7 linked regions of the Canis lupus familiaris genome follow. The protein of the gene in region 1 purifies or fractionates together with the protein of each later gene. This does not show direct contact. Links are inferred from orthologs where the notes say so. Each region holds a gene or a part of one and is shown in the gene's direction. Other genes may lie near its edges.

Region 1 (3,500 bases):
AAAATGGAGAAGCCAGTTTTTATGAAAGTGTAGGCTAGTAACTTTTGTTTCATTTCTGTATGTGTATACAATTAAAGAGAAATTGGAAAAAAAATTATGTGAGAGAGGCTGTTTAATTTTGAAATACTATTCAAATGAGATACCTTACCAGCTCTGAGTTAATATTTTTCATTCATGCTTAGCTTTTTTCCTGTGTTTGCCTATATATATATATATATATATTTTTTTTTTTTTTTTTTTTAAGATTTTATTTGTTTATTCATGAGAGACAGAGAGGCAGAGACACAGACAGAGAGAGAGCAGGCTCCATGCAGGGAGCCTGACGTGGGACTCAATCCCAGGTCTCCAGGATCTGGCCCTGGGCTGAAGGTGGCACTAAACTGCTGAGCCACCTGGGCTACCCTACATATTTTTTTTTTGACCCGTTATGTCTTTCTTCCAGAGAATTTTTTGTGTTTTGTTTTTTTTGTGTGTGTATTTTTAATAAGAGAGTCTTGGCAGGCATAGAATAGAGGATGGAAGTTCTCTTAGGTCTAAATGATCAGCCTGTTCATAGAATTAGTAAACCTGTTTCAGTGTCTTTGGCAAGCAGCCATAGGACATTCCTTAAAGTTTGAAAGGTATACTTCTTTTGAAATACATACTGTGGACATGTGTATGAAATGGTTATGATATTTTTATGTGACCGTGATCTCTTTGTACTGATATTCTAATGTTTTATTTTTCTAGGGTGCAAAAAAGAGTGCTATTGGTCAACGCATTGTGGCAACTCTACCATATATCAAGCAGGAAGTTCCCATCATTATTGTGTTTAGAGCATTAGGTTTTGTGTCTGACAGAGATATTTTAGAGCATATTATTTATGATTTTGAAGATCCAGAGATGATGGAAATGGTAATGTAAAGCAAAATATATTCGCAGTGTTCTTTTTTTTTTTTTTTTTTTTAATTTTTATTTATTTACGATAGTTACACAGAGAGAGAGCTAGAGAGAGGCAGAGACACAGGCAGAGGGAGAAGCAGGCTCCATGCACCGGGAGCCCGACGTGGGATTCGATCCTGGGTCTCCAGGATCGCGCCCTGGGCCAAAGGCAGGCGCCAAACCGCTGCGCCACCCAGGGATCCCTATTCGCAGTGTTCTAATGAGAGGTTTAAAGTTACTGACTTGGTAATCTTAAAACATAGTAGAAAGATGCTTTGAAGAGTAATTTAGCGGCCACAGATCCATGCTATTTACTGTGTAGCAAAAGCCTTCAGCCTTGCTTCAGCTTCTTTCTTGACAATTCTGTGTAAAATAGACATAAAAACTAGAGGCAGCCAGAGTTCACCGATAGCAACAAGAAGAAACCATAGTAAGAAAATCATGAAAGCATACCATATGGTGCAATTTAGTAAAAAAAAGAAATGTATAGTAAAAAAAGAAAATGAATAGTTGATAACCTTTTTTAACTTTTTATTTTGAAATAATTTCAAACTTGTAGAAAAGTTGCAAAGAACTTTTGTATACTCTCATCCAGATTCACTAGTTGGTACCTGTGCTACATTTGTTTTAGCATTCTCTTTATTTATACATGTTATTTTTTTCTACATTTGAGAGTAAGTTTCAGGCATTGTGCCCTTTATTCCTAAATACTTCAATGTGTATTTCCTATGAAAACCAGGACATTCTTTACATATTCATAATACTTAGCTTTAATACTACTAGGCCATAGATCTTATTTAGGTTATTGCCAGTTGTCCTGAATTGTCTAAAGTCTTTAGGACTACTAAGTAAGAAGGTTAAATGGAGGCCAAACATTGGTCACAAAGTGAGATAGCAGAATGAGTACATTAGTTATTAGAGCATTGATGCAGTTCCATGAGAAAAATGGATTCTGGTTAGATTTTACTTTTAGCTTTTACTAATGGTCGCGTTTTTGTGTTTTTTTTTTTTGTTTGTTTTCTTTAAATACTTAAAGATAGTAATTATTTAAGTATTTAAGAAAATTTATTATCTTTTAATCCAAAAGGCATTGCAAATGATTCAAAATTGATTCAGATCATATTCAAACTGGAATTTTCTTAGGAAAGTGAAAGAGCTGATTTGCTTTATGTCTGTTACATACTTATTTTTAATTATTGCTTGTTCCTTTAGCTCTTACGAAGCTTAGGCCAATTTTTACAGTCCGAGTCAAGCCATTCACTTTGCAAGAGTACTTTAATTTTTTCTTTTGTTTTCCTTTTTTCCAAATCCATATTAACCTTAACAAAACAGTTTCATAACATTGATGATTTAAAAAGACCACTTCCATTTGCCATATTGTGGCCTCACTTTGACTGGTTTATGTTACCTTTTTCTGATCGTTGGTTCTATGATTGGAATATGGATATTTTTAGACTTTTGAGAATCAGTGATAAATAGACATAGGAAGTCAGAGGCAGGAAAGACATTTCAGAAAATGTGATAGAATTCAAGTGTATATACAGAGGCCAAAGTTAAGTGGTACCCATTCTTCATGCTCATTATGTAAAATGGAATTTTAGAATGTTAGAACTAGAGTGAGTAAAACTTGGGGATTATCATGTCTGACCACCTCAGACAAGGAAACTGATTACATGACTGCTTAGAGGCCACACCCACTTTGCTGCAGGTATAGAACGTGTAGGTCTCTATAACAGTCTGCCTTTGAAATATTGTGCTTTACAAAAAACAGAGTAGTTTTATTTATAGGTTTAAAAACCTCTTAAAACCAAGACTAAAACCAGCCTAGTGCATTTATTCATTTGTAGTTGAGTCAATTTTAATTTGACTATTAAACTTTTCTAAATTGGTGTAAGATATTTAGGAATTTTTGTTTTGCCATTGTTAACTAAAATGTAAAAACCAAAAACTGCTTTTTTTTTTTTTTTTAAATAATAGGGTTATTTGTATTATTTTAGGAAGTGTAATTGTGTAGATTCTGTCAGATCTCTAGATCTTAAGACTTATTCAAGTTTTAGGATTTTGTGGTTCCTTGTTTTTTAAAAAAAATATTTGCGTATTCTATTAAGTACATAGGGATATTTAACAAGTTATAAATGAAAGTTAACAGTTACTTATTTTAAGGTGAAAATATGAATTTGAAAATAACTTTCATTTGAATTTTCTGATAGGTGAAACCTTCTCTCGATGAAGCTTTTGTCATCCAGGAGCAGAATGTTGCACTAAATTTCATTGGCTCAAGAGGGGCAAAGCCTGGGGTCACTAAAGAGAAAAGAATTAAATATGCAAAAGAAGTCTTACAAAAAGAAATGCTCCCTCATGTTGGTGTCAGTGACTTTTGTGAGACCAAAAAAGCTTATTTTTTGGGGTATGTTAAGATTTTTGCCAAGATACTGTCGAGATAAAGTTTTCCTTAAAGTTAAAAATATCAGAAATGGTGTTTTTAATATACAAGTTTTTTAAAAAGCCAAAAGCCATATGTATTGTTTTTCATTTTCTTGTTTCTTTTCTTTTTTTTCAAGGTACATGGTTCATAGGTT
Region 2 (3,500 bases), on another chromosome or scaffold:
TGTCCATTGCCCAAGACTGCAAGCTCCCTGGGGGAAAATATCAGCTGGTCATATGTCTCACCATTGTTCTGTTTTCTTTTCAAAGGCTTTTTAGACCCTGAAAAGAAGCTTTTTTCTCATCGAATATTATCAAGGGACGAATGTATTGACCCGTTTTCTAAAACAGGGAACCTCAGGTACGTACTTGGCTGTGTTCATTGAGGCAGAAAGTGCATCAGGCTGGCAATCCAGTAATTCTGTTTACTTTTTTTTTTTTTTTTAAGATCTTATTCATGAGAGACATAGGGAGAGGGAGAAGCAGGCTCCCTATGGGGGGAGCCTGGTGGGGGACTTGATCCTAGGACCCCGGGGTGACACCCTGAGCCAAAGGCAAACGCTCAACCACTGAGCCCCCCAGGCATCCCCTTCTGTGTTTATTCTTCCTGCTTCTGGCTTTATCTTCACAGCGCTCAGAAACCCTGCTGTCTTGTCGCCCAGCCTCTTCCCCTTCAGATCCCCAAGCATCCAGGCAGCGGTGGGCTCCCCCAGGGTCTGAGGAAGGGGTGCTGAGATCAGGGCTGGGGCAGGGCAGAGTGGGAGGTGACGAGCAAAGGGACCCAGAGCTCCTCCAAGAGCTTGGTGCTGGTGTCTCATGGTTGTTTCCCTAGGAGTGTGCATGCACTAATCCTACTGGCTCACTCCCAGATCTGTCACCATCCCATCTGCCCCTGATTACATTCCTGTCCAGCACCCGCTGCCCCTGCCTGCCCTGCTTTCACAGTAGGGTGCTCCCACCCCCAATCCACAGGCTCTTGTACATGTTTGGAAATTTCTTCACTCTGTGCAAGGAACTTTCCCATTTCTACCCAGAAAGGTAGTCCATCCATCTCCCCACACACACTCCCTCCCTCCCGTAGGGTACACTTGTTTTCATGCACATTGGTCCCTGAGGATATTTGGGCAGTTACACTGGGGCCCTGGCTTTGGCTGGTGTTGGTCGTCCTTGTCCAGCGTTTCCTGTTTCAGATTTAGGATGTGGGCACACAAGGCCGTAGGAACCCAGAGGAGAACGTGAAAGTACTTGCTTCAGAAACCAACCTCGTGTGTCCTAGTTACTGTCACGGTGATCAGTGATGAAGACAGATCCATCTAGTGATAGATTCAGGGAGAAGCTACCTACCCCCAGTGAGAACGCCAGAGGGGAGCGGCCTGTTCCCCGGCAGGCACAGGTGATATGGCTTGTATAGGTACAGGCAATGGGGCTCTTCCTAGTTTTTATCTCCCTCATCTGGAGTCAATATGCCAGAAAGTTTCGACTGTGCAAGTTATTTTAGCTGCCTTTTATTTACCTGTGGGAAACAGACTCAGGAGATACTAATTTTGGACACATGAACATGTTTTCCTGGGTAGTTGGAGCCATTAGCGACTAGGGGACTCAGCAGGGGCCGGCAGTCCTCCCAGGGTTATTTCCAGATCCAAGAAGAAATCGGTTTTGTTTTTTTTGTTTTTTGTTTTTTTTTTTAATTTTTATTTATTTATGATAGTCACAGAGAGAGAAAGAGAGAGAGGCAGAGACATAGGCAGAGGGAGAAGCAGGCTCCATGCACCGGGAGCCCGATGTGGGATTCGATCCCGGGTCTCCAGGATCGCGCCCTGGGCCAAAGGCAGGCGCCAAACCGCTGCGCCACCCAGGGATCCCAAGAAATCGGTTTTGAATTTTGAATGCTACCAGCCTGTCTGAATCCCAGAATTGTAGATAGAAATAGAATTTACAAGCCTGTGTGCGGTTAATAGAGCGTGCCTGCGTCTGTCCCATGGCGAACCCTCGCTAATGTTTCTGCTGACTCTGTATATTCTAATAGCATTCTTGGACTTGAGAGCACGTAGGTGCACTGCAGGAAACCATGGTTTATTTCCCACGGTGGAGATATATGGTCATGTCTCTTCCCCCCCATTACCTGAAAACCCTCAGCTGTGAAGCAGAAGTCTGCAGACTGGCTCACAGGCTTGTCACCTGTATTTGTAAATGTCCTGGGACACGACCATTTGTGTGCCAGCTTCCCAGAACGTGGACACAGCCCCCACACTCTAAACTCCACACTGTGGCTCCATAAGGAACATGTGCTGGTTCCTGCCTTAAGGAGTATCAGAGACAGTGGAGAAAGCTGAGTTATTTTAACATTGCTTTGTCTGGAAACTTTGAGAGTTTAAATATGAGCTAAACAAAGTCCCTCGGTGTCATTCCCATCTGTTTCTGTCTAATCCATAATCTGCTTGCTGCCTGGAAAAGATTGTCATGACTTCTAACAGATTATTTTCTTGCAAAATATGCTAGTTCGGGTATGTTTTTACTTCTAGAAATCTCTTTCCCTGTGGAGACTCAATGGTCTGCATCATTGATGATCGAGAAGATGTCTGGAAGTTTGCCCCCAATCTGATCACCGTGAAGAAATACGTCTACTTCCAGGGCATAGGAGACATCAACGCTCCCTCTGGGTCTCGGGAGTCCCAGGCAAGAAGGAAAGGTGGGTGAAGGCCTATTGCCCAGCAGCCCCTGTTGGCAGCTGCCATCAAAGGCTCACTTTGTTTCTGTTCCTTTGTATTTCAGTACTTACAGAGCTGCCTGTCTGTGTTCATGATAAAATAACGAAAAGCACAACGTTTGGTTCTCACTTGGGGTTTTCTTTTTAAATAGTATTGATCTAAGTGTTTTCCCAATTGAATAAAGATGAAAGAATTAGCTTAATTCATTATATTTGAATCCTCCCTGTCATACTGGTTTCTCTTAAAAGATAAGCAGGACATTGGGAATTTGGCCATTGTGATCCTTGGAAAGCGTGAGCTGTGGGGTGGAGCAGCTCCAGCAAGCTGGTGGTTGGCACTGTGCGTTGGCCCAGAGCCTACAGGGAGCCACACAGCTTAACCTATTGGACAAGTGTGAAGCCAGAGTCTGTCTGAAGAAAATGTAAAGTTTTGGTGTGAAGTGTTTCTGATGATCTTTAGTTTGTAGACACGATGTTTGAAGCCTACAGTGACTGCTGTAGTCACGAGGCCTCCCGCAGGGTGTCCACCCACAGCATGGGAGCCTAGAGCGTCCTGTACACATTTTAACCAGTTGTGAAAACCAAAACAGAGTGACCATCTGTGGCCAGAAACCTAAACATTTGCCTTCACAGCTGCAGTTTGCTGAGCCCAGGTCTAGAGACAAACACAGGGGATGGGAGAAGGGGGTTCATGTTGGATGTTATGTAACAGTCACCCTTTGTTTTGTGCACACCTGCAGTAAATCAGTCTTCAAGAGGTGCTGATGGCCCAGAACAAGCTCCGTCCATCAGGGAGATCGAGGAAGGACGGCAGGTTTCTGGGGTTGAGCAAAGTAATGGCCTTGGGAAGCCCATGAGGGAGCTCAATGGGGGCGCCTCTCCACGAGGGGACTGGCCCCTGCCTGGGCAGGAGGAGGAGAGAGGAGCCCGGCCCACCACCCGTGGCCCCTTGGCTGATGGCAAGGGGCCCCCCGCCTG
Region 3 (4,255 bases), on another chromosome or scaffold:
CTGGACAGATTACTCAACTATGTTTTATGTTTTCTCATCTTTCAAATAGTGATAATAATCCACATCCCACAGAAATGTTGTTAAGGATTAAGTAAAACAAAATATGTAATGTGCTTAATACAAAGTGATTTGGTGTAAGTGTTCATTCAGTATGTGATAGTGCTGCTTAATATAGAAACATGGTCCAGATTTGGACTCGGGGGCCCTAGGTTACAATTATAACTACATTTTGACTGTGTAATTTTAGGGCATTTGCCTTTTTTATATTAATTCACCCAATCAGCTCTGAATAAGGTGGCAGGATGAGAAAACTAAAAAAGATGCAGTCCTTTCCCTCTAATCTTAGTTATGTGATCTTGGGTAGGTCGCCTAACCTGTCTTGTTTCCTAATTTGCCAAATGAGAATAACACAATAACTACCTTATATAGCTCTGTCGTGAGGATTAAATGTGTTACTGTGTGAAAACAGCATCTAATCTCATAGCAATTGCTCACTATGTTGGCTACAAATATGATTACGATGATTCTAGTCTGGAAGAGGAGTGAAAGAGCTAAACAAAGAGCTACAATATGGTGCAGTGAGAGCAAAAACAGTCAACTAGAAGAATGTCTCTTAACTAGGGTTTCCCCATAACTGGTAAGTTCCACGATAACCAGGATCTTTTAAAACTCTGTTATGTGTACAACAACCTAACTCCCTACCACCAACCCCACAGCAGCTGGAAGGACAAATTTCTCTACTGATTTGATCGTTGGAATTTAAAACGTTTTAAAAATACGTAAAGAGGATAGTCTCAAACAGCGTTTTAAAGGAGATCAATGGAACCAATGACCTCCCTGCCCCCACTCTCAAAAAGGTTAACATACTGCTTAAATTTGAGAAACGGTCAAATGGACCCCCCAGAGGGCAAGGGCAGCACAAGGGCAGCACGCAATTTCCTCAAAGAAGCAACTAAATTAAGAGCACAAAGGTGTGTTTTATGGCAGTGCTGTCAGAGTAAAGCTCAGAACTGGACATTAAAGGGTGGTCCTGGAGATCGAGTGCGGGCACACCAGATGAGAAGGCGGGGGGCGAGGGGTCACCTTTGGAGAAAGAACAGCAAGAGCCAAGGCGTGAAAAGTGCACGTGGGTGGCTTGGCACAACCAAAAGGAAGCTGGGGGTGGGGGGGCGGAGAGCAGGACGGGTACGGAGAAGACTGCGGCCTGGGGCCTGCCAGACGAGGGAGAAAGCGCCCCCCCGCCCCGTACCCATTCCTGATCCCTCGACATGAGTGTCTCTACCGGATCTCCCTCTACGGCTTCCCGGTTGCTGGGTTCCCTCTTGCTCCCGCCACTCTTCCCTTACCTCGTCTTCCAGCCTTTCCCTCACTCTCCCGCCTCCTTCGCCCCGCCGGAAGTGACGTGTAACTAGCGCGCCACAGAGCGCCAGAAAGGTTCTGCGGGAGCGGGAGAAAGGGTTCCGGCGAGACTCCCTGCGCCTGCGTGCGGGCGCGAGCGGTCAAAGCGCCTTCCGGAGGCCGCCGGACTGCGCTTCTTTGCCCGTCTGTCGCTTTCGAAGTGCCCTGAGCGAGGTTCGGGGAGGCCGCCGCCACTGGAGGGGCGTTTTTCTGTAGCTCTGACACCTCCCGGTGCCCAGCTACTCCGGCCCTTGCCCTTTGACCCTGCTCGCGGCGGGGTGAGAGGTCGGTGGCCATCTTGTGGCGGCGGCGCGGGCGGCTGTTACTGCGGAGACCCATCCCCTCCCCCTCCTCGCCCCCTGGCCGTCAGTCAGTCAGTAAAGAGCCCCGCAGGCGGTCAGGTGAGGCCCGGGCCTCGTGCGGTCGCTCCTCCCGCCGCACTGGGCGGCCCAGGCCGCTCCCTGCAGGGCCCCGCCGCCGCCACCATGTCCTCCTTCTCCGAGTCGGCGCTGGAGAAGAAGCTCTCGGAGCTGAGCAACTCTCAGCAGAGCGTGCAGACCCTGTCGCTGTGGCTCATCCACCACCGCAAGCACGCGGGACCTATCGTTTCTGTGTGGCACCGAGAGCTCCGCAAAGGTAAACACCCCCTGGGCCCTCCCCCCATCCCACTCCCGAGGCTCCCCTCAGCTGCTTGCTTTCCAAGCCCGGGCCTCTGCGCCTCTGAGGGGCGCAGGCAGTGTTATCCCCATTTCTCAGAGAAGGAAACTGAGGCCCAGGTAGGTTCAGGGTACTTGCGTGAGGCTCCCAGACTGCGAGCTCGTCCAACACCCCCCCCCCCCCCCCAAGGCTACTCCTGACACCTGGGACTGTTCTTATCTCGACAGCCTCGTAGAGGGCACTGGCCCTAGGCTGTTGTGTGCCCGTGGCTTGGCTGAGCGTTTGGAGTGAGACTGCCCGCCCGGATGCAGTCCTGGCTCAGCCGCCTACTAGCTGGATGACACTGGGCTAGGGTCTTCCTCTCTCTGTGCTTCTGGTTTTCTCATCCAGAGGACGAGGACGAGGGTAGCTGCCCCTTGCAGAGCCTTTATTCTGTGCGGGTCAAGCATGCCAAGACCTTTCTGGATATCCTCACACTGGGTCCTCGGACACATCTGTGAAGTGGGTACAGTTACCCCCATTGTGGACGCCTCGGGCCGAGCTGCCTAGACCTTGCCTCTCAGGCTCGTGCATCTTTCATTGATTCCAGGCCCTGCTCAGGATCTGACAGACGGACCCGGAGCTCAGCCCGTTCAGTGCCAGGCACCGGGTTGGATGCCTGATAACACGTTGGCTCCAGAGGCCATCTGCCTGGAATTTAAGCCTGATTCTGCTAGTCACTGACCCCAGCGGCTTAGCCTCTCTGACCCTCAGTTTCCTTACCTGTGACATGGAGGTGATGAAGACTGATATTTACTGTGCCTTTAATAATGTGCCGGGCGCAGTACTGATATTTTTACATACACTGTCATTTTTTAAATTCTCAGAGTTCTCTGGAGTAGGAACTTTGCAGATGAGGAAAACTGAGGCTCAAACAACTTGGCTGTGGTAAGGAGTAAACAGGATAATCCAAATGAACATCTAGCATGGTGTCCAGCACAGTTTAGGCATTTCATAAATAATGGTGAAACGGGACTACTGGTGACTCAATGTAAGGCATGATCTTTGCCTTCAAGTTGCTTGTAGCCTGGTGGGGCAGGATAGGCACTTTTATAGCTGTTAACCTGATAATTCCATACCAGGAAGCTGAGGAAATGAAGCTTAGAGCCATTTTGGAGCTTAGATTAGCCTCTGTGTAGTAGGCCCTTGATAGCATAGGAAGTAACTTTACATGTGTTTTCTACTATCTGTGAGATGGAGTAGGTTAAGTGGTGTTTTCAGTGCCTTAGACCTGGTGAGGCTAGATTGCATTAGGCTGTCAGACACCAAGATCCTGGATTCTTCCAGGAGACCGACCCAGTTCTAGCCTCGCAGAGACTCGCCTTCCCACAAATACATGTGCTGTATGCTGTACTGAGATGGGGTCCCCTCCGGGCAGTTGGAGAATAGAGTCTGGAGCCCCTGAATTCTCCTCCTTCTACCCTACTTGAGTTATGGAAAATAACAATTTAGAGAGTGCATTCATCTATGAAGCACTTTTAACCCTAATCTCATGTGATCCTAATTTCATAGAACCTTCTGTTTTAAGGAGACCAGCATTGTTATCTCCCTTTTATAGATGAGAAGGTAAAGATATGAAGAGATTAGTGCTTTGTTAGGGGCATATTGCTGGAGCATAAGCAAGAGCCCTCTGATGCCAAAATTTGTACTTTCAAGTATCCAGTGCCTCAGTGCCCCTTAATAAGTGAAGGTGATCATCTGGACTCCAACCAAACCCATAGCACTTATGTTGATCAGAATTAGTCAATGTATCCCACCCCATCCCATACCAATTTAGCATTTATTTCATGCTTACTAGTTTTGTCTTTTTCACTAGGTTTGTGTTTTGAGGGAGAAACTAGGTCTCCTTGTTTCTTTTCAACACCCATAACATTTAGCATGGTGCCTGTTACACAGTTTAAAAATAGGTTAGGAGTTCGATTGTCTCCAACTTCATTTTCATGGTTGAACAGAGGATCTAAACAGCACGACCTAATACAACTTTCTGTAAAATGTTTTATATCCATAATGTCCAACAAGGTAGCCACTTGCCACATGTGGCTATTGAGCATTTGAAATATGTGACTAAGGAATTTAAAAAATTTTTTTAAAGATTTTATTTATTTGAGAGGGAGAACTCAGGGGAGGGGGAGGGCAGAAAAAGGGGGAGAGGTAGATTCCT
Region 4 (3,967 bases), on another chromosome or scaffold:
TAGGAAAGCATTAACAAGGGATGGAGGAACAAAATAAGGGAGTGGGTTCTGGTAAAGGTCAAGACTCACTTTGGGGGCTGGGGAAGAAAAAAAAGACGAAAACTCAGGTTGACCCCCCTTCCCTTCCCGCAGAACACACCCGCTGCTGTACAGCAGGGCGCACAGAGCTTCAACTCCTTTTACTCCGCACCTACTCGAGGACAGCAAGTCTCAAGGGAGATTTCTTTACAATTTTGTTTTTACGATTCCTTTTCAGCGGGCCTAACGCCTGTGTTGATGTTTTTGCATCCTCGGAATGCGGCAGCGGGCCTAGCAGGTAACGCGCGCCCTGGGAGTGTTAACTGAATCCAGGAACGGCTGCCAAAGCGTGCAGGGGTGGCTGCGGGTCGCAGTCCCTCACCGGTGGGCTCCCTGGCGACTACGCCGAGGTCAAGCTCTCCATCAGTTAAACGGGGGCACCACGACCCGCCTTGTTTATACCTCACCAGCTCCTCCAGAAGCTTTACATAAAGGGCGGCCCTGTGAAATACTGGACACGTGGCGAGTTTGGGTACGGCCGCTGACCAGCATGAACGGGGCGATGGGAAGAACCCTGCACTCCAGAATCCTAAGAGCCAGGCGGCCGTGCAGGCTAACCCGCTGTCTGCCCATCTCAATGAAGCACGAAGAGGTTTAGGCTCGACGATGCTCCAGGCCCCACATTCTAATAGTCTGTGAGGCCGCGACGGGCTCGGGACCTCGAGGCTCCCGCATGCAACCTCGGGGAGCAGGGACAGTGAAGGTCGCGGGGTCCGCTCACCCAGTCAAAGTCACACGGGTTGCCGTCTTCGCGCTGCGTGGGGAGACTGCTACAGAGAGGGGGCAGCTTCCTCACGAGTAAGAATGCAACAGAAAGCAGGGCTGACAGGAGATAATAAGGTCGGGCCAGCCATCGTGAAAGTCGTGGCACCGAATACACCAGAGCGATTAGAGGTGCCAGGACCGCCATCTTTCCGGCCTTTGCGGCGCCCGCGGAGCTTCGGCGTCTGTAGGTCTGGCCCCGCCCCTTCCACCAGCGAGCCTTCCATTGGGTTTGGCCTCGGATGCACCGCCTCCGCGCCCGGAAGTAGATCTCTGATTGGACGTTGCGGAAGGTAAGGGGCTTTGACGTCTTATTGGCCGACCTAGATGTCGCTTTCTCCACTTAAGTCATTTTATTGGATATGCGGCGGTGGCGCACGGAGACGGCCTTTAGGGGAATCTCTGCAAGTTAGATAGCACTTCCGGAACGTTCTCATAAAGCGACGGAAGTAGCTGCCAGAAAACGGTAGGCGGGGCACCCAATGAAAAGCGGCTCCTAGAGGAAGGGGGCGGGACATCGTGAGAGGATTGTCCAATGAAAACGACCGACGCCAGACACAGGGACCGCGCCGGGGCGGAGGAGACGATGGAGAATTTCTCGGCGCTGTTCGGAGCTCAAGCTGACCCACCACCACCACCAAGCGCGCTCGGCTTCGGACCAGGAAAGCCTCCACCTCCTCCTCCCCCTCCTCCGGGCGGGGGCCCCGGCACGGCCCCGCCGTCCACCGCGGCCACGGCTCCCCCCGGCGCCGACAAGTCGGCGGCTGGCTGCGGTCCCTTCTACCTTATGCGGGAACTGCCAGGTGAGTACTAGGCCTGGCAGAAGGCAGCCAATCGGATCGTACCGAGGAGGCGGTGGGCGTGGCTCTCGGCCAGCCGGGGGAGGTGCGGGGTATCCTAGGCAACGCGTGCCGGGCCTCGGAGCTCCGAGTCGGGAGGGCGCTGAGGACTCGCGACCGAAGGGTTGACATGAATTTTTGGCCTGGTTGGGAAGGGGGAGAGAAGGCCTTTCGGCGACCCATCTTTCACACCGAATCTGGCTCTGTCCCTGATGCTAGCTTATGGTTCCCTGAAAACTCTCCGGGGTTTGAGTTTGGAACTCGAGACGCCTGATTTAACATCCGTGCAGACCTAAGGTTTTCCAGATCTGTCACAGACATGCTCTTGGTTTGAGGCGTGTTGCCGTCTTCCTGAGGGCTTCCGCGTTTCCTCAACTACCCGAAGGAGGGAGGAGACTCGAACCAAAGAATTGTTTTGTTGAGCACCTACCGTGTACCAAAAGCACTGTTCTAAATGCTTAAGATACAGAAGTGACTAGGGCTGACAGGTACCTCTGCCTGTTTTGGAGTTTACATTTCAAAGGAGGCGGCGGCACAGTGCACTAGATAACATCACACAGTGGTTAGTGCTACAAGGAGAAAATGTGATAAAGAGTTGAGGCTTTAGCCAGAGTGATCAAAGAAGCCATCTCCGCGTAGATAATATTTGAGCGTAAAGAGCCAGTCACGTGTGAGTGGGAGAGATAACACGCAAGAAATGAGGTCAGAAGCCCTGGTGTGAGGGAAAACCATGGACTATCCGAGGATCAGAAGACCAGTTGGACTCCAGTGAAGTTTCAAGGGAAGGAGTGATAGGAGATGGAGGGCGTGGGGGAGACAGCCTTTGTAAAGCATTTAGATTTTAAGTTCAGGGGAGCCGTTGTATTTTTAAAAATTTTTTTTTAGTAATCTCTGTACTCAAACTGGGGCTCAAATGCACCACCCGAGATCAGGAGCCACCTGCTGTACCAACTGAGCCAGCCAGATGCCCCTCAGGGGGAGCCATGTTAGCACACAGGAAAGTGACACGATCTGATTTTACTTATTTTTAATTATCCAAACAACTACATTAAGAATGGAAAGTGGGGAAATCAGCCAGAAGTTACTGCATAGTAGTCCCGGAAGGAGATGATGGTTTGGACTAGGCAGTAGCAGTGCAGGAGAGAAGTGAACTGATGCAGGGTAAATGTTAGGGGCAGAGCTTAGAGGAATGAAGGGTTGAATATAGAAGTAGGGAGGAACTTGTGAATTCCTGGCTTGAATAGTTGGGTGGATGGTAGTGCTAAGACCAAGAAGGAACACGTTTGAGGAAATGGAAATCAAGAGTCGCTTTGGACACGTTAAATCTCCAAGTTGCCCCTCAGTTCCTCCCAAGTTCTACTGCTACATCAGGGGTTGAGGGAAATAATAATGCATATTGGCCTGGTGCTTTGAAGTTCACAGTGCAGTTGCAGTTAGGTATGTAATAGAATTTGATACTGAGAATAGCCTCTTGAGATAGGCATGTTACACTTGAATAAAACTAAAGCATAGAGAGGTTGACTCTCCTTTGGTCAGTTAGGGGTTGATGTCTACCAGCACTTTCTCTAACCTTATTTATTCTATTTATAAAATTGTACCTATTTATATCAACCACTTGACAGATGCTACTACCTGTTTGGGGCAAGTATGTAGGAAGGGGGGCACCTGATGAGAAGGAAAAGAATAAATCTAGCCCTTGCTTTTAAGGAGCTTATTTTACATAGGGATATAACATATGTGGTTTAAGGATAGTGACTATAGGGCAGCCCCAGTGGCACAGCGGTTTAGTGCCGCCTGCAGCCCGGGGCGTGATCCTGGAGACCCGGGATCGAGTCCCGTGTGGGGCTCCCTGCATGGAGCCCGCTTCTCCCTCTGCCTGTGTCTCTACCTCTCTCTCTCTCTCTCTCTCTGTCTCTATGAATAAATAAAGTCTTTAAAAAAGAAAGCTTTTTTTAAAAAAAAAGGTTAGTGACTATATTTCTTGTTAAGGCTGATCTCATTACTTCGTGATCATACCTCATATACTATTGAGCACTACATGATGGGGGCCCCTGGGTGGCTCAGTAGGTAGAGCATGCAATTCTTGATCTTGGGGTTGTAAGTTCGAGCCCCACACTGAGAGTAGATGTCTACTTAAAAAAACAAAAAACTACATGTTGGTTTTCAAAATGTGTTCCTTGATCCAAAATGACAGAGTTGTCACTTGAGCCAAACCTTGGAAATTTCATATGGGTGAAGAAAACTTAGAATAACTGTCTTATAATTACATCAATTTTCCTAAGACAAAC
Region 5 (3,500 bases), on another chromosome or scaffold:
TGTGTTGAGAAATTATTACATTATTTAAATCTGTACGATATGAAACTTCCTTGCATTATCAAAATCTTTGACTCTGTTCTCAGTCACAAGATGCAGGGAGCATGCTATGTAATTCATGCATTTTATTTTTTTTTCAAAGATTTATTTATTTATTCAGAAAGAGAGAGAGAGAGGCAGAGACACAGAGGGAGAAGCAGGCTCCATGCAGGCAGCCCGACACGAGACCCGATCCCGGGTCTCCAGGATCACACTTTAGGCTTCAGGCAGTGCTAAACCGCTGCATCACTGGGGCTGCCCTAATTCATGCATTTTAAAATAATAACTATTACGCATTCCTGGTTGTATAATGACTTTAAAATACACTAAAGAAAAATAACATGCCTGTTTAACCACTTAATAATAGTTCTTTAAACAAGTCTCCTAATCTCACTTGATTTTCATCACTTTGCACTAATTATCCCAATGTTATTTTCCATATTCTGTGTGTTGTCCTATTTTAGTAACAGAAGGTTATTATTTTTGTTAATGTAGTTCTTTTAGTTTTGATATTTTAAAAACCTGAAATATAGATCACTTATGATTTAACACATAACAAGAGAATTGTAATCTGTATTAAAAGTTGTTCTTTTTTTAACAACTCTATTGCGTTAAAATTTGACCATGAGTATATCAAAGGGAAATAATTGATACTAGTTTATAAGTACCTAGTTTATAAGTCCCCTGTACAGGTTTTCAGAAGCTGAAAGATTTTGCAGAAAAATTTGTCAGGACTCACAAGCACACCTTTGATATACATTGTTTTTAAAGATAGTTCTTTAAAAACAGGTAAATTATATTTTATTTTACATGTGACTAATTTTTTGAATAGTACATTTTTAAAATGAAATCCACTTTTTAGTGTTTTGCTTTGGAATAGCAATTGCTATAGCACCACTTCTTTTTCTTGCCTCAGATTTATTTCATGGACTATGTATCTACAAAGATGCACAGTCTCCTGGCAGAAGTTTTTTCAGGTTGTTTGTATTTTTAATAATAGCTAACATTTTTGAGTGCTTACTATGTGTTGAGTGTATTTATTTTCTCCTCTCCATCATACCTATGAGCTAGACATTATCCCTCTATTTTCTGATGAGATCAGTGAGGTGTAGAGCACTGATAAATTAAGTTTTCCAATAATTTAGCAGGGGAAATGCTCCTCTCATTTCATTGTAGGGGAAGTTCATCACACCTGCTCACTACAGCGATGTCGTGGATGAGCGTTCTATTATCAAACTCTGCGGTTATCCTTTATGTCAGAAGAAACTAGGAATTGTAAGTAACAAATATTTTAAAATAGAAGCTTTAATTTTTTATATTTAGCAAAATACTTTGTAGATAAGACAAGAAGTGAAACAGGCTTGAACTAATGACATGAGTTAGCCAAAGTTATGATATGTAGATAATTTAATCTTGTAACATAAAGTTTATATTTATTACTTGAATTCTTCTTAAGCTATACTTTATTTTTTCCCTTTAGGTACCAAAACAGAAATATAAAATTTCTACCAAAACCAATAAAGTCTATGATATTACTGAAAGAAAGGTAAGCTTAAAGGCTGTTCTCACTGTGGCAGTTAATTTTTAATATACTAAATGGAATTTTTTTAAAAAGTTGAAAAGTTTGCCTTTTAGAAAGTAGCCATGCTAAAAGTTTATTTGAAAATATTTCATTCAAGATATTAGAAAAAACTGCTCATGCTTTAATAAATACTTGAACATTTAAAAATTCAAAGTGCAGGATCACCTGGGTGGCTCATTCAGTTAAGCGCCCAACTCTTGATTTTGGGTCAGGTCATGATCTTAGTGTAGTGAGATCAAGTCCCACATCAGGCTCCTGTGCTGGACATTGAGCCTGCTTGGGATTCTTTCTCTGTCTTCTGCCTCTCCCTCCCCCGTTAAAAATAAAATTTAAATAAAATAAAATTTAAATTGAAAATTAAAATTTGTGCATACTAGCACAACTTAAAGCAAGTAAATCAGGAACAGAATAGAGATCCAGAAACATACTAACCATGTATGTGGATACTTTGTATATAATAACAAGAATATTGTGGATCAGTGGAGAAAGTATGAATTTTTCAATAAATAGTAGTGGCACAAATAGTTATCCAAATGGAAAAACTGAAAATTGATCCCTGTAATAGTTATCCAAATGGAAAAACTGAAAATTGATCCCTGTTTCAGTGTACATAAATAAATCAATTTTAGGTAGATTAAAGATTTAAGGTTAAAAGATAAACACTGTTTCAAAGAATATGGGAAGGTTTCTGTAAACATGGAGAATTTCTTAAATAAGGTACACAATTACACACAATAGAGGAAAAATTGGTAAGTTTTTTTCTACATTAAAATTAAAAGCAAAAATAAAAAATAAAAAAAATAAAAAAATAAAAGCATTTGCTTATCAGAAGTTTCCAAAAAAGAGTGAAAAGATAAGCCATAAATCAGAAGGAGGTATATTTCCATAGAAATGACTAAACCTAGTAGAATTTTTTTCTTTTTTTTCTGAAAGAAAGAGTGCATATGTGTGCGAATGGGGGTAAGGGCAGAGGGGGAGGGAGAGAATATCCATCTCCCAAACCCAAGACCATGACCTGAGCCAAAATCAGGAGTCACTTAACTAGCTGAGCCACCCAGGTGTCCCTAGAAAAATTTTATAGAAGGAACTTGATAATGAATGAAAAGATGATCAATCTTGTCAGGAAAACAGCAAATAAAAACATTGATTTACATGGGCAGCCCGGGTGGCTCAGCGGTTTAGCGCCTGCCTTCGGCCCAGGGCGTGATCCTAGAGACCCAGGATTGTCCCACGTTTGGCTCCCTGCATGGAGCCTGCTTCTCCCTCTGCCTGTGTCTCTGCTTCTCTCTCTCTCTCTGTCTCTCATGAATAAATAAAATCTTTAAAAAAATAAAATAAAAACATTGATTTACATTCTCTCAGCCCCCAAAGTAGCAAAATTATAAAAATCTAACAATATTAGGAACTCCTTATACTACTGGTTAAATATTAGGAACTCCTTATTCTACTGGTTAAATAAAATTGCATCCTTTCTGAGAAGAAATTGGTATTATCTTTCTGAGAAATTGGTATTATCTAGTAAAGTCAAGTTCACACATTTTTTATGGCCAAACTTTTCTGTTCTTTGGTATATATTCTTAGGGATTTCTTGCCTGTATGTATTGCTATGTATGTATAGGAATGTTCCTAGTTGGATTAACAAAATATGCTATATTCATAGAATAGAATGTTCTTCACCCTTTTAAAGGAAGGAAATTCTGACACATACTACAGCATAGATGTATTTGAAGACATGTTAAGTGAAATAAACCTGTAAAAGGGACAAATATTAAATGATTCCACTTATATGAGATAACTAGAGTAGTTTGATTCATGGTTACAAAAGTAGAATGGTGATTATCTGAGGAGGCAGATATGGGGATTGTTGTTTAATGGGTATAGA
Region 6 (4,045 bases), on another chromosome or scaffold:
GCTGCCTCTCTCCTGTTTTAAATCTAGGTCTTCCTGTAACAACAACAACAAAAAGTTCTCTCTCGGGAGGCTGCGGCTAATAACCCACTCAGCCTGCCTTCTAGCCCCATAACAGTATCGGGGCTTCCAGGCAGCGAGGTGGGGGTGGGGAAGGAGACTCCACTTAGACTTGACATTGAACAATTCTGGGTTTGACCTAGAACTCTGGGTGACCTTGGGCCTCAGTTTCCTCTCTTGTGAAATGCTTTGTTCAGAGAATGAGGGTTTCCGTTTCTCAGCACCCTCCGCGCCAGCAGGGTTCTCCACCGGGGCCGCCCTGCCGGCCAGGGGACGTCTGGCGATGACTAGACATTTCTGGCTGACCTGACCGGAGAGCGCCACCGGCGTTGAACGGGTAGAGCCCCAGGATGCGGAGTACCCTAAAATGCGCAGGACGGCGCCTGCGGCCGGGGCCCGCCCACCCACGTCATCGGTGCCCAGGATGAGCAACCCCGGCGGACTCGGGTTTGCGACCTCGGGGTCGGTGGGCTCCCTGGGCGGGCCGCGGCGTTTCCCGAGCTGGCGTGACGGCTCCGCCTCCCCCCGGAGGCGCTCGGCGACCCGTTTCCGTGATCCCAGCACGCCCAGCGCCGCAGACCTCCGCCCTCGGGGGGGCGCCCCCCGCTGACCCTGCCGCGCGCGCTACCACAACGTGGACCTGTCGCCCTCGCCCTCGGGGCCGAGGACCCCCGGCTCGGAAAACGTGGCAGCCTCCCCCGCCCGCGGCTCCCGTCACCTCCGTCGGTGGGGAAAGCTTTTCTCCCCAGTGAGGAGTCCTTCCGCTGCCCCCCTCTGAGGCGGCCGCCCGGGGCGCCCAGGTTCAAGGACTCGGCGCGCTCCGCGCGTTTCCGTCGGAAACCTCAGTTCCCCACGGCCCGGCCGGGGGCGGGGCCTCCAGGCGGCGGCCGTTGCCCCGCCCAACCGCCTCCCAACGGCTCCCTCGGCCGGGCGGTGGGCGGGGCGGGGCGGCGGTCCAGTGCGCTTGCGCGCGCATGCGTGTGGGCCCTGGGCGGGGCTCGCGCGCAGCCCCGCCCAGGCCCGGCGTCTCCGCCCGCCCTATCTCCCAACCTCCTCAGCGTGGCGCCGACGCTGCGTGCGGCGCGGGTTACCCAGAGTGCTCCGCGCGGGGGCAGCTCACTGGAGTTTGGTTCTCGAGGCGGCGGCAGCAGCGGCGGCGGCTCCGGTGGCTCCTCCTCCTCCTCTGGTGGCGGTGGCGCCCCGGGCCCGAGCCCCGGCTCCCCTCTCCGCCACCCCGCGCGCCCCCTCCTCCCCCGGCGCCGCGGGGAACATGAGGCTCCGCTCCCGGAGGCCGGCGAGTGAGTGACCCCCGTCCCCCGCCTCAGCCCGCCCGCCCGCTGGCCCGGCCGCTCCCCCCCGCCTCGCCCAGGCAATGACAGCGGCTCCGGCGTCTCCGCAGCAGATCAGGGACCGGCTGCTGCAGGCCATCGACCCCCAGAGCAACGTAAGTACCCGCTGCGCGGGCCGGGACGGAGGCCGCGTGGGCCCGGGACCCTCCCCCTCCCCAGTGCCCCTCGCCCGCTGGGCTCCGGGGAACCCGCCCGACGCCCACCTACCCCCGAGGGCCGCTGCCATCCCGGTCTCTCGCCCCACGGGCCCGAGCCGGGGGCAGGTCGGGCAGTCTGGCGGCGCTCGGTACGTGAGGCCGAGGCTTCCGTGCGGCCTGGGCGGACGGAGCAGACGGGAGCTGAGGCCAGAGCTTTCCCTTCTTTCTCGCTCCAGCTCTACGACCCCTGCTGCTCCTGACGGAGCTCACCCACCTCGCCCTTCCCCGGGGACCCGCGACCCCCGGGAAGTCCTCCCGGCGTGGGGGGAGGGGAAGGAGAAAGGCTGTGGAGCAACTGGTGTCCGGGGTATGACTCGGGAGCCTATGCCGCCTGTGTCTCGGCCTTTTGGGTGATCAGGGAAGTCCTCCTTCCCTCTTCTCCCGGCTGGAAGCACCTTCCTGGCTTCATAGGGAACCCCCAGCCTACTTTGCCCTTAGCCGGTTGCCCAGGGCGCGTGGAGAGTCCCCCCTTGGTTCTGCCGGTGGACATGCCTTTGCCCGATCCCTCCTGGGAACGCTGCTGACGGTAGATGATCTCGGGGACGGTGGGATTCTTCCTATTACCTTTCTGGGCCTAAATGCCCGTTGCGTCTATAACCGAGCCAGAGCCCCGCTTCTTGGTGTGAATTAGAGGTGATTATTTTCTCTCCTGTTTGTTCAAGAGCCCTCCTTCGTCTATCCCTACCCCTCACCTGAGTGTTCCAGCTTGGTGGTTTGTCACCTAGACGGTCAGGGTTAACCCCAGAGTGTGGCTTTCTCAGACGGAGGTCCACCGAGGCTACCGTTTGCAAAGGGATCTCCTCTGCCCCCCTTCGTGTGTGTAGGGGAAGACTCATAGTGTTCTCATATTTTCTCCAAAGGATTGTTGGCAGTAGGGGTTATTTTCCCCTGTGGCAGGAGCAGGTTGAGCAATAGGAAGATGTTGTGGTATCCAGGTATGAAGCGAGCCCCTGCATTTGCTGGGAGACCAGGAAGTGGCCATTAAGATCACTTTTTAATATGCTGGAGATCGAAGGAAAAAATATTATCTTGGGCTAGGTAACTCAGGTTTCTCTTTCTGTAGGGTTTTTGTTTTTCCTTACATGAGTTTGACTAATTACTCTTAACACTCTGTTTTAGGTTGGTATTTTTAGAGTTATTCGCCTTGGCTTGTATAATTTTGGTAAAAATTGCGAAGTTATGATCTTCTTAAGACGCTGGTTTTTGTATCATAAGTAATCCTCTTCAGGCCCCAATAAGATCAACTTGGTGGTAATTGTCTTTAACAAATGTCGTATACGTTTTTGTTATGACTTTGGGGGTGGAGTAGGCGCAAGCTATATAAAACCTTCTAGAATTTTTTGCAGTACCTGGTGCTGCTGCAGTTTCCAACATTGAAATATTAGAGGACAAAACAAGTGACACGAGAAACGTAACCTTGGTGACTTTTTGCATCTTTTATCCAGAGTGTAATTTCTTGAATTCCATGTGCTTGTTTGCCTTCAGGAGAGTCTGAGAGGTTGCTGAGATATTAGCACTGATCCTTAATGCCACCTAGGAGAGCTTTGGGATCAGGAGGCGCTTTGACAGGCGGTCACGATGTTGTAGATTAGGTGGAGCAGTGACCTCAGGGGTTCCAGTGTTCTGTAACGCTGTAATCTAAAAGGTTCCTAGGGAGAGAGGAGGAAGGAAGGTTAGCCAGAAGAGAGAGAAGAAAACAAATCTCAGTTTTTTTGTATTTTAGTGAGTGCAGAGATGATACATTCATAGAAGCCCATGGTTTTAATGGCATGTAGTTCACATTTCATATGGTTTGTTTTGAGGGACTACCGATGGGTGTGCATAGAGTTCTGCTAATAAAAGTGTGGTGAGTGGAATTGGGAAACATGTCTCTGAATATGAGCGATGAGGAAAGTGCCTCTTTAAATGCTGCCATTGCTAGTGACCATCCATGAGCCTCGTCAGAACCTTTTGACAGGAGTGTGGCTTTGAGCAAACTCCACTGAGAAACTGGAGCCGTGGCAGAATAGGTTACCGGCAGAGATGGTGCGACCATAATTTTGCAGTTTCTCTGGATTGACCTGGGCTCAGGTGAGAGTGAGGTAACTACAAGAAAGCATCGCTGGCGCACAGCTGCTTTTCTCTACCTTGCCCAATTATGAACTCCACTTTGGGATAGTTAGTTGACACATATTTAAGATACTCATGGAAAAAAAAATGGGGACAGTGTTGAAGAGCCAACACTAAAATTAAACCTCTTCTGAGAGAAGCGACACAGAATTGTGTCATATAATGCTTACCTTTATGGGCATGCAGTTATGGTTAACAAACTTAGCTTTTGCTTAAAAAATCAATGTCAGGCAGCTGACCTAATACCCACAAGTATCTGAGAAGTTAGTGAAGTAACAAAGTAACTGACCATCTCCTTGACAAATGAGTCCTTAAGAGGAAAGTTGTCTTTAT
Region 7 (4,008 bases), on another chromosome or scaffold:
CACGCTTTTCCTAGTTTTGCTTTGGGACACAGCTCTGGTAGCTGAGCTGTAAAGACAAAGTCAGAGCCACCTGGGATGCTTCTTACACTGCTCTACTCTTAAGATTCTTAACAACCTGAAAAGAAAAAAAACAAAAACAAAAAAAAACTTTCAACAGTTTTAAACATTTGGAAATAGGCGGAAAAAAAAAGAAGATTTTTTCCAAACGGGTGTGGTAGAAAGAGTAGCTGGGCATTGGAGTGACATCTGGTGCGGCCACTTAACTAGTTTTGTGCCCTGGGAATACCTCATTGATTTTGCGCCTCTGCTTTCCCACGGGCGAATTGGGCAGTTAGGAAGGATCGGTTTCAGGCTGACTTGTCCGGCACCTGCCACCATCACCTCCGGCGGATTCTGGAGGGGCCTGTGTACCTGCGGGGCGGGCCGAGGGTGGGGTCGGGGGGCTGGGGGGGGGGGGGGGGGGACTGGTAGAGGCGTCGGGGATTGTTCCGAGCTGGGAGCTGCACTGAACCAGAGGGCGCAAGCCAGACACATAAATGTCCTGCTCCGAATGCCACTGAGTCCCACTAAGAAACGCTGATAGTCACGAAAAATCCCTCCAACTTAGTTTGAGGACCTCACTAAGCCCTGGCCGCCTGGGCCCCGTCCGGCACACTCCCCCGGCTTCACCAAGGGCGAGTTTCCACTTCCATCCCACTTCTCAGAAGGCACCTGCCGGGGGGGGGGGGGGGGGCTTCTTTTTTCTTTTTTAAAAGATATTTATTCGTGAGAAACAGAGAGGGGCAGAGACACAGGCAGAGGGAGAAGCAGGCTCCCTGCAGGGAGCCCGACGCGGGACTCGAAACGGGGTCCCCAGGGTCACGCCCCCGGTCGAAGGCGGCGCTCACCCGCTGGGCCACCCGGGCTGCCCCTCTTACTGCTGTTTCACCATTACCTGATTAGTGTCTGCCTCCCTCCACCCCTCGGTAAGCTCCACAACGGCAGGAGTCGGGGACACGTGTTGGGGGGTCACAGCGGCGCTACAGGCAACACTTTTCGAATAAACCTGAAGAGCCGAGCCGACGAGCCGCGAAGAGACCCCCGGCGCCAGCGCGCCCCGCCCCCTCGGCTTACGTAACTTCCGCCCCTCCCCGCTCCTCCCAGCGCCCCCTTCCCCTCGCCTGTGTTTGTTTCCGGTGTTTCAATAAAGCTCGATTCGGCTCGAAGAAGCCCCGCTCTTCCGGGAAAATGGCGGCTCCCGCTCGTACCTCGGAGTCCACGCCGGCGGCGGATCCGGCGCCAGCAGCGGGGGCTGCCGAGGGAGCCGAGTGCCCGCCGCCGCGCCAGCCGCAGCCCCCGCAGAATGTCCTCGCTGGCCCGCGGCTTCGAGCCCCAAGTTCCCGAGGACTTGGGGCGGCGGAGTTTGGCGGAGCTGCGGGAGATGTTGAAGCGCCAGGAGAGACTTTTGCGCAACGAGTAAGCTGGGGTCCCGCCGAGTCACCGCCAGGCTTCTCCGGTCGGGGCTCCCTGGGACGCGTTCGTTGCCCTCCCCCGCGTCGGGTTCCCTGCCCTGGAAGGTGACCTTCCCTCCGTCAGACCCGGGGGTGCCGCCGGCCCGCGGACGGCCTCCCGCCGCACAGGCGGCCGCGCGAGGGCCCAACGGCCGGCTGCTGGAGTCTCAGCTGTTCCCTGAGTCCTCCGCGGTGCTAATGACCTTGCTACCCCGACGGCTCCCTGAAGGGAGGGGCCGTGGCCTAAATCCCGTGGCACCTCCGCCTCCCTTGCCGCCCGGACCGGGCCCAGGACACCGGGTCAGTTCCGTCTCGGTCCCGTTCCTACGGGAGCTGTAGGAAGGAGAGGGAGAGTCTGGAGTGCTGCATTAGGCAGGAAAAGTTTGTCCCCTCCAGCTGGCCGACTTCCCTTTAGCAGGTGAACAACATAATGAGAGTGATTTTTTTATTTTATTTTTTTTAAGGACGCTTCATTTAGCAGATCGGTGCAGGATGGTTTTGGAGGAATCCGAGGCAGGCGACAGCTGGAGGTTATTTTCAGAGAAGTTCCCAGCAAGGGGGACTGTAGAAGAGTAGTTGTCGGATTGGGAAAACTCCGACCAGGCGTGGAATAATCGGGGTAGGTAGTTGAAAGGGATGGCTGAAGTTCCCAGCCTGTAGGGAGGACCACTGGTAAGAACAGGAAAATTGGGGAAGAGCTCCGAGGTTGAGTTTACTCGGGGGGTGCTGAGTTGGACAGGGAGTTAGTTAGATGTACTTAGAAGATAGAGTAGGGGGACCCCTGGGTGGCGCCGCGGCTCAGCGCCTGCCTTCGGCCCAGGGCGTGACCCCGGAGACCCGGGATCGGGATCGAGCCCCACGTCGGGCTCCCTGCGTGGAGCCTGCTTCTCCCTCTGCCTGTGTCTCTGCCTCTCTCTCTCTCTCCCTCCTCTCTCTCTCTCTCCTCTCTCTGTGTCTCTCGTGAATAAATAAAATCCTGGGGAGGTGGGGGAAAGCTAGAGTAGTGGTCATGAGGATCCGGAGAGAGAAGGCTGAGGACATGTAGGAATCTCAGCTGGAGAGGGATTCGGTGTTGTAATTGTGGGAAGGAATGTAATGTGAGAGAATGGAGAGCCAGAGGTGTAATCTATCTTCCCTCCGTTTCTAATAGAGATTAAAAAAAAAAAAAAAAAAAGAGAGAGAGAGAGAAACTGAAAAGGAATTTCTGTCAGTCAGCAAAAGGGACAAATGACCATTTGGGAGCTTTCGAGTAGGTTCAAGTACTTTGTGAGAATGGTTTTTTAAATCTATAGCAGCGAGTTAACCTTTTGGTCTCAGGACCCCATTTATACTGTTAAGACTTAAGGAGCGTCCCAAGGAGCTCTTGTTTTACAAGACACATCTACTGGTGTTTTACAAAACATCTACTTACAAAACATCTACTGGTGTTTATTGGTGTGTTAGGAATTACAGGTGAGAAGGGCACTTGGGTGGCATCATCGGTTAAGCGTTGGATTCTTGGTTTTGGCTCAGGTCGGGATCTCGGTGGGGAGATCAAGCCTGGCGTCGGCTCCAGGAGTCTGCTTGGGATTTTCTCTCCCTCTGCCTTTTCCCATTTGTGGTCTTGCGCTCACTCTCTTCCCAAAAATAAATAAATTAGAAAAAAAAGTAATTACAGGTGAGAGATCTTTAAAACACAAGAATACACAGTGATTAGCCATCAGAGCAGTATCACGTGGCCTCTGGAAAACTCCCATTATACCCATATGAGAAAAGGAGCATGGAAATGGCAAATAATGGTTTAGTATTATTATGAAAATAATTTTGACCATGCAGACCCATCCACGTCCCCTCCTTAGGAAGGCCTTGGACATCACACTTTAAAAACTGCGAGTTTTGGGGTGTATTATAGGATATTATGTGCTTAAAATACTTTTGCTGAAATTCTAATTAGACAGATGAGGAATACTTATTTCTGCATCATGTATTTTTAGAGTATTTAGATAATGCGTTTTACTTTATTCCTGTTCTGATGCAGTAGGAAGTCAGATTTTTGGCTTAAAGATAGATTTTTTTTTCCCTTTGAGGATAATGCTTTTGTCTTTGTATCTCAAGTTTAAAAACATGATTCTAACAAATACATGTGTGTTTTTTTCCCCATTTAACAGAAAATTCATTTGCAAATTGCCCGACAAAGGTAAAAAGATCTTAGACTCTGTTGCCAAACTGAAAGCTGCCATTGCAGAATGTGAAGAAGTTAGAAGAAAAAGTGAACTGTTTCATCCTGTTAGTTTAGACTGTGAGCTAAAGCAAAAAGCAATTGCAGTTGTTGATGTGGACACAGATAAGGCCCAGAATTCTGACCAGGTACTTGATACTTCATCACTAGTTTGTGGCTCTTCCTCTGTAAGTAACATCAAGTCATCTCAAACAACCTCACAGCAACAGGGACTTGTACATCCTTTTGGTGAAAGCTATGAAGAAGCTCCAGAAGTGGAGTACACAGTGAATAGGTGCCCAGCCTCCAGCAGCAGAGCCC

Evidence for each region.
Region 2: the proteins of POLR2B (region 1) and CTDP1 purify together in Homo sapiens (affinity purification with mass spectrometry; 3 studies listed by BioGRID and IntAct, with this or other methods). This does not show direct contact. The link is inferred for Canis lupus familiaris from reciprocal best matches to the Homo sapiens genes POLR2B and CTDP1.
Region 3: the proteins of POLR2B (region 1) and RPRD1B purify together in Homo sapiens (affinity purification with mass spectrometry; 4 studies listed by BioGRID and IntAct, counting the BioPlex papers as one, with this or other methods). This does not show direct contact. The link is inferred for Canis lupus familiaris from reciprocal best matches to the Homo sapiens genes POLR2B and RPRD1B.
Region 4: the proteins of POLR2B (region 1) and MED19 purify together in Homo sapiens (affinity purification with mass spectrometry; 4 studies listed by BioGRID and IntAct, with this or other methods). This does not show direct contact. The link is inferred for Canis lupus familiaris from reciprocal best matches to the Homo sapiens genes POLR2B and MED19.
Region 5: the proteins of POLR2B (region 1) and RPAP2 purify together in Homo sapiens (affinity purification with mass spectrometry; 3 studies listed by BioGRID and IntAct, with this or other methods). This does not show direct contact. The link is inferred for Canis lupus familiaris from reciprocal best matches to the Homo sapiens genes POLR2B and RPAP2.
Region 6: the proteins of POLR2B (region 1) and MED26 purify together in Homo sapiens (affinity purification with mass spectrometry; 3 studies listed by BioGRID and IntAct, with this or other methods). This does not show direct contact. The link is inferred for Canis lupus familiaris from reciprocal best matches to the Homo sapiens genes POLR2B and MED26.
Region 7: the proteins of POLR2B (region 1) and POLR2M purify together in Homo sapiens (affinity purification with mass spectrometry; 3 studies listed by BioGRID and IntAct, counting the BioPlex papers as one, with this or other methods). This does not show direct contact. The link is inferred for Canis lupus familiaris from reciprocal best matches to the Homo sapiens genes POLR2B and POLR2M.

Annotation. Positions count from the first base shown.
Region 1 is NC_049234.1:49,869,758-49,873,257, forward strand, and holds part of POLR2B (DNA-directed RNA polymerase II subunit RPB2), read left to right. Parts: intron 1-729; coding exon 730-894; intron 895-3,131; coding exon 3,132-3,328; intron 3,329-3,482; coding exon 3,483-3,500. UniProt on the Homo sapiens protein: Catalytic core component of RNA polymerase II (Pol II), a DNA-dependent RNA polymerase which synthesizes mRNA precursors and many functional non-coding RNAs using the four ribonucleoside triphosphates as substrates.
Region 2 is NC_049222.1:894,734-898,233, reverse strand, and holds part of CTDP1 (RNA polymerase II subunit A C-terminal domain phosphatase), read left to right. Parts: intron 1-85; coding exon 86-176; intron 177-2,337; coding exon 2,338-2,504; intron 2,505-3,262; coding exon 3,263-3,500. UniProt on the Homo sapiens protein: Processively dephosphorylates 'Ser-2' and 'Ser-5' of the heptad repeats YSPTSPS in the C-terminal domain of the largest RNA polymerase II subunit. This promotes the activity of RNA polymerase II.
Region 3 is NC_049245.1:27,117,545-27,121,799, forward strand, and holds the start of RPRD1B (regulation of nuclear pre-mRNA domain-containing protein 1B), read left to right. Parts: upstream 1-1,455; 5' UTR 1,456-1,883; coding exon 1,884-2,034; intron 2,035-4,255. UniProt on the Homo sapiens protein: Interacts with phosphorylated C-terminal heptapeptide repeat domain (CTD) of the largest RNA polymerase II subunit POLR2A, and participates in dephosphorylation of the CTD by RPAP2. Transcriptional regulator which enhances expression of CCND1.
Region 4 is NC_049239.1:38,958,074-38,962,040, forward strand, and holds the start of MED19 (mediator of RNA polymerase II transcription subunit 19), read left to right. Parts: upstream 1-1,167; 5' UTR 1,168-1,375; coding exon 1,376-1,643; intron 1,644-3,967. Other genes in the region: TMX2 (thioredoxin-related transmembrane protein 2), read right to left, coding at 800-988. UniProt on the Homo sapiens protein: Component of the Mediator complex, a coactivator involved in the regulated transcription of nearly all RNA polymerase II-dependent genes.
Region 5 is NC_049227.1:57,130,708-57,134,207, reverse strand, and holds part of RPAP2 (putative RNA polymerase II subunit B1 CTD phosphatase RPAP2), read left to right. Parts: intron 1-1,212; coding exon 1,213-1,311; intron 1,312-1,516; coding exon 1,517-1,582; intron 1,583-3,500.
Region 6 is NC_049241.1:46,329,858-46,333,902, forward strand, and holds the start of MED26 (mediator of RNA polymerase II transcription subunit 26), read left to right. Parts: upstream 1-1,245; 5' UTR 1,246-1,429; coding exon 1,430-1,501; intron 1,502-4,045. UniProt on the Homo sapiens protein: Component of the Mediator complex, a coactivator involved in the regulated transcription of nearly all RNA polymerase II-dependent genes.
Region 7 is NC_049251.1:23,182,613-23,186,620, forward strand, and holds the start of POLR2M (protein GRINL1A), read left to right. Parts: upstream 1-1,208; 5' UTR 1,209-1,342; coding exon 1,343-1,455; intron 1,456-3,637; coding exon 3,638-4,008.